Regions from separate parts of the Mus musculus genome. Here region 1 is reported to be linked to region 2. Evidence: microRNA targets listed by miRTarBase, many of them from high-throughput screens and not tested one by one. Region 2 holds a microRNA gene; the other region holds the end of a gene's coding sequence.
The links. The annotated mature microRNA mmu-miR-350-3p reads UUCACAAAGCCCAUACACUUUC and lies in region 2 at 3,149-3,170, shown strand. An mRNA with a match to its seed (bases 2 to 7 or 8) in the 3' UTR can be bound and repressed. Matches are read on the target gene's strand: a 7mer-m8 pairs with bases 2 to 8, a 7mer-A1 pairs with bases 2 to 7 and ends in A, and an 8mer does both.

Region 1 (5,384 bases), not on the chromosome of region 2:
AGCTGGCAGCACAGAGTCTAGTGTTTAATTTAAAAGATAAAGTCTTTTGTGAATTATTTCCTGAAGTTGTGGAGGTAAGAAGGCAAAAGTGGGAACTTAGTTTTGTCTTCCTTTATGTTAAAAACACTTTCAGATATAATTGTTTCCAAAGAGAAGCTGTGTTTGTGTGCTTACTGCTGTGTTCCTGTAGGTGTTGTAGTGGGATTGCAGGCCCTCCTTGTTGCTGGAGGATGTAGAAGGCTCAGTACTGGTCATGCTTCCAGATGCACACACTATTGGGTGACAGAGCTAGCTCTTCTCCAGGACCCTATAGTGCGGGAAAGACAGCTTAGGGATGTGGGAGAGACTCTGAGGAACATACACAAGTGTCCACACAGAGGCATGCTTGCTGATCAGTGGCCATCCCTCAAGAGATCTGCCACCAGTAGCCAGGGGGTGCATCAGTTGCCTCCTGCAAGGGCTGGGCATGTACTGTGGGCTGGAAGGTGGTGTAGCTTTTGGTAGCTCGTTACTCGACTCGGGCACAGAGGAATGATGTTGACACCTTGCTTGCTTTCTTTACCTGTAAAATGGGATGCAAAGCTATGCTCATGCAGAGGCATGGGGAACTGTGTTCTGGGTGGTAGATCTGAGCTTGTAAAAACTTGAGTTCTGCTCCCAAATGGACAGGTTAAGACAACTGAGGGTTTTTTTGTTTTTCTCTCAGGAAATTAAACAGAAACAGAAAGCACAAGATGAACTAAGTAACAGGCCCCAGAATCTTCCTTTGCCAGACGTGGTTCCTGATGGGGAGCTGCACCGTGGCCAGCATGGGATCCAGCTCCTCAATGGGCACGCACCCGCTGCTGGCCCCAACCTCGCTGGGCTCCCACAGGCCAACAGGCATCACGGACTCCTGGGCGGCGCGTTGGCGAACTTGTTTGTTATAGTTGGGTTTGCAGCCTTCGCCTACACGGTCAAGTACGTGCTGAGAAGCATAGCACAGGAGTGAGGGTCACAAGCCACAGCCTACAGTTGCTGCCGAGGGACACAGGGCCAGAGCTTGATGCCGGCGTGAAGGACGTGCTGGCACAGGGTGGCCTGCCGGACTCCCGGGCTTCACTTTTTACAAACCTTAAAGAGAAAGCAAAAACCAAAATGTGATCTGGAGGAGACTGGTGGTTCTCAACTCCCTCTTGAGGTTGACTGGACGGAGCCACTCGCGCTCTGGTTTTACTGCTTATCTCCTGTGTTGTCTTTTGACCCTGTTTAGTAAACCTGTTTTGTTGGTTTTGTTTTGTTTTGTTTTTCATTTTATTAGATTTGGTCACTTAAAATATAAAACTTTAATGCCTATCAAATACTCTGTGTGTGTTCTTAGTGGAGGAGCTGAAAGCCTCCTGGTGGGGCTAAGTGGGCCGGCTGGTCTAGGAGAGGACTGATTTGATCTCATTGTAAAATTGCTTCTGAGTGAGAGAAGACTCACACAAAGTGCCGGTTCTGCTTTCTGTTAAGGTAGAAGCAGCAGCTTGCTCTCTGACCACAAAGTGCTGCACTTAGAACCGTGGCTGAGGACTGTGGTGAAGGACTGTGGGTAGCCCAGGTACTGCTGTCAACCTTAGTACCTCTGCTTTCAGCTCCCTTGAGTGATGGAGAAGTAGGAGCCTTGGTAACCCTGGTTCCTTATGTCCAGTTGGCCAGAAGCCGGCCCTCCTATGTTGGCAGACAGTGCACTCCAAGTTCTTTCATATCTTACGGTAGGCTACACCATCCTTTCCGGGTGACCTATGTAAGATGTCGCTCTCTACAGATCATGGAGAGGGAAACTGCCCAGAACACGTCACCAGGCCACCAGTAAGCTGGCAAGCTCCCTTATGGATGTCATCTCTTTGAGATTTTGCTTAATGTACCTGCAGTAGTTGTTTGGGAAGGCTAACATCGTCTGTGTTGGGCATCAATCATCACCAGGGGCTCCTAAAAGCCTTCTAAGCCCACCTCCTTTCAGGGGCCATGGTAAAGCTGAAGTGCTCCCATGTGATGATTACCTGTAATTCAGCTCTGTGGTTTACAACTAGTATGTATATACCATGTAGTCCTCTCCTAAAACGGTCTTTAGTTACCCCTTTGCTCTGAACTCCACGATGTCTGTGTTAATGTCCCTTCCCTGGTAGGCTGTGACCAAGTGCAATGCCTGGCTTGTGAGAAGGGAATGTTGCAGCTGCCAAAAGGTAGATTGACAACCCTTGGTTGGGCCTGTGCAACCTGTGCAGCCTTCGGTGGGTGGAGCCCTACAGACATGTGCTTCCTACTATTGGTAGATGGTAATTTTTCCCTGGTCCCAGAGTGCTCCGTTGCAAATTACCTCAATTCCAAATTGGTGTTTCCTGAAGTTCTTGAAAGACAGAACATTATCGAATTTAGTCCTCTGAAATCTCAGCACCACCCCCAGCCCCCTGGCCCCAGCATGGCCTTTATGGGAGTTTAGGGATTTCAAGACAGGGTTTCTCTGTGTGTCCCCAGCTGTCCTAGAACTCACTCTATAAATCAAGCTGTCCTTCATCTCAGATCCACGTGCCTTTGCCTCCCAAGAGCTAGGATTCAAGGTGTGGGCCTCCATTGCCCAACTGAAAGCTCAACTTTGATTTTAAAAAATTTTTAAGATTTATTTATTTTATTATATGTAAGTACACTAGCTGTCTTCAGACACTTCAGAAGAGGGTGTCAGATGGTTGTGAACCACCATGTGGTTGCTGGGATTTGAACTCAGGACCTCTGGAAGAGCAGTCAGTACTCTTAACCACTGAGCCATCTCACCAGCCCTTTTTTAAAATTTTTAATTGGTTATTTTGTTTATTTACATTTCAATTGTTATCCCCCTTCCCGGTTTTCTCTCCAAAGAACCCCCATCCCATCCTCCTGCCTCCATGAGGGTGCTCCCCCACCCAGTCCTGCCCCACCACCCTACTGCCCTTCACTGGGGCATCAAGCCTTCACAGGACCAAACTCTTAACAGCTCAGAAGGAAAGAAAATTTTAGGAAGTGCTTGTTCTTAGGGTAGAAGTAAAAAGCAGCCTGCTCTCTGGCCACAAGGTGTCGCACTTAGTGTACGACTGAAGAGTGCTGTGCCGGCTTGGCAGGTTAGCCCCAACACTTCTCCCAGCTTTGAGTGCTACAGGACCCTAGAGTGTCCACTGTGTGTTCCGTGCTCTGACCCCCGAATAAAAGGTGGCCTTTTTAACCATTGGCTCAAGCATGCCTGCCTTGTTGACTTGTCTTGGGAGAGGTCACTGACTGGGGCAGTTGGCATCCAGGACTGCCCTCTATTAGCTCTTCCTTAGGAGGTGAAAACCTCTCCTAAAGCTCACATTCTGTTGTTATTCAAAGAAAGGGGTACCTTGGAAGGGAACTTTCCCACTTGGCCACTTCTGTTCTTCCCTGAGAAAAAGAGCTCTCAGATAGTCTTTGGGAGTTTTTTTCCTTAAATTTTTTATTTCAATGCATTTAATAATCAAACATTAATGGGTATTTTGAGAGTCAAATAATACATAAAAAATTTTGTTCAACTTTCATATCCTTTCATCCTAAAAATATCATTAATGAACATTTAATACTATCCATAACTGAGGATCCTATATTTAATATTGAATACTAAATTGTTTCAAAACATACAAAATATTCTTTGGGAATTAAGCATAGTATTAGAGCATAAAATATTAAAATTGAATCATTAAGAGATATATTCAAAAGCCCTTATACCACCTGGCATAGTAAGAGAGTATTAAAAATGCCTTATATATCTGTGTACATTGTCTTAACTATAAGTTTACTTAAAAAAGAATATCAGTGTTTCTAGGAGAGATTATTTTATCAGTAAGTATATTTTTAAAATTTCAAAATAGTGAAAACTCTTCGAAGTTAAACATTAAGAAAATGCTAATTTCAAGCACAGTGAGAAAAATTATCAGTAATATTTCCATTTTGTTTGTAGAACATGATTTTAATATTTTCAACAAACAATTATTTTAAGATATAGTTCATTGTTATGTGTCCCTTTTCATTTCTGATTTTATTAGTTTGGATACTGTCTTTGTGCCCTCTGGTTAGTCTGGCTAAGGGTTTATCTGTCTTGTTGATTTTCTCAAAGAACCAGCTCCTGGTTTTGTTGATTCTTTGTGCAGTTCTTTTTGTTTCTATTTGGTTGATTACAGCCCTGAGTTTGATTGTTTCCTGCCTCTTCTCCACTTGGTGTTTGCTTCTTTTTGTTCTAGAGCTTTCAGGTGTGCTGTCAAGGTGTCAAGCTCTCTCAGGAATTTTTTTTTTTTTTAAACAGGGCCTCATGTAACTCAGGCTGGACTTTAATTCTCTGTCTGCCTCCTAGGTGCTATTATTTTAGGCCGGAGTAGCCTTTGCATCTATAGTGAGCCACCGGTTCCTGTTTTCTCCAGGGCTTGGATGAGAGCCAATAGCAGATGCTCCTAGGGGCCACTTTGGTCAGGGTATTTGTGATCCAGTGTAGGATCCTCTTGGTTATTTTCCAAGTTGTTTGTGGCAGGGAGATATTGAAGCTGGAAAACTGGAAACTTGAGTCCATCCCTAGCCACAACATGAGGTCCCTGCCTACTGTGGTATTTCTGTGACAGGGTAAGTCTAGCCTACCTGCTTATAAACTGCCTGAAAGACAGCTGCGGAATCCCACTTCCAGATAGGCCACCGAGGTATAAGTGGACCAAAGGAACAGGGTGCTGCATCTTTGAAGAGGTCTCTGGGCTGAGGCACTTGCCCTCCCCGAACCTGAGACTTGAACTTGGGGCATAGAGGCTGTCTTTCTTGGCATATATAACACATGGATACACACACGCACGCACGCACGGTACTTCCCTTTACGTTCTGCTCTATCCCTGCTTGATTTGTTAGGCTTCTCTGACTGGGTGTGGCCTGGAGCTGGGACGGCTTGCTTGGTCACCTTTCACTCTTTTTTGGAGTGAGAATTGAGGGCCACTATTGTAGAACATTGCGTTCTGTTTACCAGGACCCATACCTACTGGGACCAACCAGCGTGTGTTAGGGATGCAGCTCCAGTCCCTTCATAGAGCAGTTGGAACCACACCTGGCTGTTTGTAGCCACGGCTTTTACCAGTTGGAGGCTATCTGGCTACTGGGAATCCTGGACCAGTCTCAAGGGCCACTACCTCGTAATCACTGAGCTCAAGGTACTCATTGGCTTGGCTTGTCCTTAGCTAGCCCAACTTTGATCTTGAAGGGCCTTTCTCTGGGGACCTGACACTGTCACTCACGAGGACTGGGGGGGTGTGGGGGGGGAATTGTATTGGTCAGAGATGTACAGGGACCAGTTCCCCCTTGAAGTGTAGCCTGGGCCTGTGCTAACCTCTTAGAAGACAGGCCTA
Region 2 (5,384 bases):
GTTTCTTTCATACTGCTGCTTAGATGGCCATTGCTGCAAGCAAGCCACACGTTTTATCACTAACCACTTTCACCTAATAATGTGTGTCATCTCCCAAGCTTCCATAATATCAGTTTTGTCCTAGAGTGGGCTCTGAACATTATAATTGAGACTGGTAAGTGGAATTGTTAATTCCAAAGCATCGCTTATGTATTAATTTCATATCTCCATCTTCACCTGACTACCTCTTCACTATTAGAGCCCTACATTATTCACAAATGTTTCAAATAGCCCATTCGGTGACGTGTTGAGGCTATTCATGCTTTTTCTATCAAACAGTGTGTGTATATGTACAGAGCATCTCCATCCATACTTTAATTCTTTCTCACCTTGAGTTTTCCTGCTTTGCTTTTTTTTGGCATTGCTGCTGTTCACCTTGCATCTCCTGATCATAGTCAAGACCGTTCCTTGTCTGTTACATCTGTCTAACATACGAGTGCAATTCTTTTCATCCAGGCTGTTAATCTGCCTTCTGATTCTCAGAATAGTAATGGTCATTACCAATGACCCTCATGCTTCAGGCTTCCAAATATTTTGAATTCTCTCTCCTTTTCCTCATTAGGGTGCAGCACAGAGGCCAAGCACGTGGAGGGACAGTCTGCGGCTGCAAGTGAAGAAGCACTTTTTCCCTTCTGTAGGGAGCCAAGTTATTTTGAAATTCCTACAAAAGAATTCCAGCAGCCATCACAAATAGCAGAGAGCACTATTCATGAGATTCCAACAAAAGACACACCAAGTTCCCATACAGCAGGTGCAGGGCATGCTTCATTTACCATTGAATTTGATGACAGTACGCCAGGAAAAGTAACTATTAGAGACCATGTGACAAAATTCACTTCTGACCAGCGCCACAAGTCAAAGAAGGCCTCTCCAGGAACTCAAGACTTGCCAGGAATTCAGACAGGAATGATGGCACCAGAAAATAAAGTAGCTGACTGGCTAGCCCAAAACAACCCTCCTCAAATGGTGTGGGAAAGAACAGAGGAGGATTCCAAGAGCATTAAAAGTGATGTTCCTGTGTACTTGAAAAGGTTGAAAGGTAAAGTGATCTTCAGAGATTCCTATTGTATCATAAGTTACCAGACAGACTACTGTTACTTAATTATACACTGGAAAATATCTTTTTCAAAATTTACGTTTAATTTTAAAGCTCAAGAGCAAACAGCACTGTTTATGTCCAGATTTCTCATTCATATTAGCTTTTCTTTGTTTTCTTGCCAAAACCACATTGGTTTGGGGATGGCAGGTTACTTATGTCATTTAATCTCTTTACCTGCAGAAATAAAAATCTATTAATTATACAAAGCAGAATTTTCCTGAAAATAATCCCCATCATTTTCTTGATTTAAAGAAAAGATATGTACAGTTCTTTTTCTCTCTATCATGCTTCCAATATAGCACCATTTCTAGGTTTTGAAAACAAAATTAAGCTACTTACCTGCTTACACCAGAAAGTCAGATTGCGCTGGAGTGAGTGCTTCACACTGTCAGCTGTGTGCAGAAGCTCCTCACACACAGACGCTTTCAGCTGAGATACATTCACTAGGTATCTACAATTCTAACACAAAGTTTGTGCTGTCAACTGCAATTTGATGTTCATTTGCAGAAATTAATCATATTATATAGTAATATTAGCTATTACATATACTTTATTCAACACTTAGTTACAGTCATTGCATGTATATTGATTGTAACAACTAATCAGCTTTCTTCCCACTGGTTTTGTGAATTGAATTTCTTTTGGAATTTGTGTTATTTTGTTTTGTATTTTAATATGCTATCAATAAGGGAATTGCTTTGAACAAATGATTGTGAATTTGACAGTTCTGTGGCTTTTATGGGGAGATGATTAATTCTATTCTAAAAACTGCTTTTTGGGGTCAGGGAACATATATAGCCTACTGTATTCCTTAACCCTGCATCTGGGACTTCAGCATAGGCTATTATCTAATGGCTTCATTGTTAATGACAGGACTGACTCTGGCTTTAATTATAGTGATCAGCAGTTACCTAGCAGAAAGATAATTGAATTCTGATTGTGATATATTTACTCCTCCTACATGTTAGTTATATCATAGTTGAATCATACGCATGCAAAGGTTAAAGATAACATGTAAAATGACTGCTAATGTAAATTTGATGAAAAATAGTGATAAGCTAGTAGTATATCAGAGGTAGTATATGCCTTGAAAATGAGTCTTCTTAAAACCCATACACTTACTGCATAGATGAAGGATGAATTAAAAAGATCCTTTGGCAAGATTCCATCAAAATATCTTTGTTAAGGAGCTGGAGAGGTAGCTTAGCAGTTAGGACCCAGGTTTAATTTTCAGCATCCATATGTTGGCTCCACACCATCCATAAAGAGGGGATCCAGTGTCCTCTTGTGACTTCTTCAGGTATCAGGCACTCACAGGGTAAACTTACATGCTTGAAGGCAAAACACTCATAGGCATAAAATAAAATAATACTTAGAGAAATACTGAAAATCCTTTTATAGCAGTGTAATTGTTAAATGTTTTCTGTATTAACAATTATCCTTAAGCCATCATTTTAGTATATTCTCTGCTCTTCACCAGGACCTATTTGAGCCAAATTAGAAGTAGAATCATTAATACCCATATGAACACTGTCTTTATACTGATCAGAATATATTTTTAAATTTTGCCAAAAATTAGTCTAATCACTATTGACCTTGAATTATTCTTTCATACTTGACATTAGCCTATTTTGAAAGCCATCCAAAAAAAATTTTTCCCAGCAATAACTCACTTTGTATCCCAAATAGAGCCATGCTATTTATTTCTTCATACTTATTTACAAATGACATTAACTTTCTTCAAAATTCAGAGCTGTTATCAATAAATAAGTTTCCCATTAGTTTATAAAACGGATACATTCAGATTTTGAATAACGGAGGTAGATAGTAGTTAGTAACAATTTATTAAAACTTGGACTTTGAGCAACTGTGAAAATCAATTGATATGAGATATAGATAGATAGATAGATAGATAGATAGATAGATAGATAGATAGATAGATAGATAGATAGATGCCTTGCTCCTACAAGAGTAAAGTGCATGCGCTTTGGGACAGTGAGGAAAATAATGTTCACAAAGCCCATACACTTTCACCCTTTAGGAGAGTTGCAGCTTGCTTTATACCAACTTCTCACAAAGTACAGCCAAGCTAACCTGAGGGATAGCAAGTGAATGTCTGTATTTAGGATAGTTAGAGATCAGCAGAGGGGTTAAGAAGTATGCTGAGCATTTCTGCGTGGTCTTTTTACTGAATAGAAACATAAGATTACAACTCTGATCTAATCATGCCTCAACTTTTCCCCTTGGGTAATACACAGAAGCACTAGAAGGACTAATAGCTTTATAAGAAAGAAAATGACTAATCTCCAACAGATTAGTAACAATGAAACTTGTGTTTTCATTAAAAATTCTGAAGTAAATTTACAGTCTTACTTACAGGTCTAACAGTATAGAAACTATTAGTGTTTATTCTTTTGGACCTTAACAAACTGAATTCCTATTCAGTTTATCCAACCCAGTATGTTTTAAACAGTACTATAATAAAATGTGTGTCTAAACTAGTAGTTACATCTCTGTTTGTTTTCCATATACTACTCATGATTCCTAAATTATCAGTGTTGGAGATTCCACTAATTAAGCACATTGTTGGGTTTTTTTTTCTTTTCATAGTACTTTTTGGATAGTAAATAATTTGAAGAATTTTTACATTCATCTCATTTGATTTTTATGTTAATCTGTCACTTTGAATCTGCCTTATCTTTACCATAGTAGTGCCCTCCGTTTCTCCTCCTTTTTCAAGATGTCATTCAGTTCTACCATTCCCTTGTCTGTCCTCATTTCTTTTATGTACTACATTTTACAGGTAGTTCTCTTGTGTTATATTTCACTGTTATTGGGAGCTTCCAGATTTACTAGGAACAAACCCATACACGTTATAAATCCTTTCCCCTAGACATACATCTCATTCTTTCATACACAGCAAGCCTTTTCTTTCTGATTGCTCTCTTGTTGACAGATGTTTACTTTAGAGTAGACAGCGTGGGAATGTTTCAAAGTCAGATTATTTCTACAAGATTGGATTCTGTCAATGTACATTCTAATATACTAGATTCATTTATAACTTTGAAAAGATTTTTGTTAATCCTTGATTGGTGATCCATCTAAATCATGCTGTCTTAGGGTTCTACTGCTATGAACAGACACCATGACCAAGGCAACTCTTAAAAGAACATTTAATTGGAGCTGGCTTACAGGTTCCGAGGTTTAGTGCATTATCATCAAGGCAAGAGTATGGCAGCATCCAGGCAGGCATGGTGCAGGAGGAGCTGAGAGTTCTACATCTTCATCTGAAGGCAGCTAGAAAACGGGCTCCCACATGGTTAGAGTAGGTTCTCAAAGCCCACCAGCACAGTGACAGACTTCCTCCAACATGGCCACACCTCCTCCAACAAGGCCATACCCCCTAATGATGCCACTCCTTTGGTCAAACATATTCAAACCACCACACATGCCTAGAGTAACTCTTGCTCTGATCTAGAAAAACCTTTATTGGGAGGCTAGTATAATATTGGACATGGTATCTACCTATATCTGTACCATGTAGTTTATTAGAAGGAAGGGTATAGTAGAAGTCTTTGTAGTTGGTAGGATGTCAGCATCATTTAACTCTTTGAAGCCACTAGAGTTCTAAGAAAACATTTGTAAACATTGGTTGTTACTAATAGTAGCTACAAATTTCAGTCTTTTTATTGAAAGGTGTGTTGAACTTTTAAAATTATTGAATATCATAATTTAGATATACTCCATTTTAATGACATTCATATTGTGTTAAATAGTGTTTCGGTTACACCAGTCTTTTAAATGATTCCTTTTATTTGTTGCGATTATAATCATTTTACTTTCCCATTTCCTTTCCTCTGTACAAACCCTCCCATAAACCTCTTCTCACTCTTTTTCAAATTATTGCTCACTTTTTTCATTAATTGTTCTTACATACATAATTTCTAAACAATCTACTGTGTCTATATAATCTTGCTTTTCTGATGTTTTCAGGCAGGGCTGACCATTTGATATTGGATAATCAGTTGGTGTGTTCTTCCTTGGGGACGACTGTTTCCCCCACTCTTGGCATCCCTTAGTTGCCTGTAGTTCTTTGTGTAGGGTTGAAACCTTGGAGTCTGGTCTTTTTTTTGTTTGTTTAGTACCAAAGGTTTACGATTGAGAGGCAGAGCGAATGTGTATTAATGTTAGAAGTACAAACTATGACAGGTGATGGAACATCGCTTATTCTTTTAAGGGATTGAGG

Region 1: miRTarBase lists Ube2j2 as a target of mmu-miR-350-3p. Seed matches in the 3' UTR shown: 7mer-A1 at 2,709-2,715.

The regions. Positions count from the first base shown.
Region 1 is chr4:155,956,375-155,961,758 of GRCm38, forward strand. It overlaps Ube2j2 (ubiquitin-conjugating enzyme E2J 2), which reads left to right. Exons shown (of 8, transcript NM_021402.6): 7 at 1-74; 8 at 707-3,230. The coding sequence ends at 991. Among named protein-coding and RNA genes, the nearest start is that of C1qtnf12, 3.2 kb to the right of the region's middle.
Region 2 is chr1:176,770,128-176,775,511 of GRCm38, reverse strand. It overlaps Mir350 (microRNA 350), which reads left to right and starts at 3,089; the gene lies at 3,089-3,187. It overlaps Cep170 (centrosomal protein 170), which reads left to right. Exons shown (of 20, transcript NM_001099637.2): 8 at 602-1,078.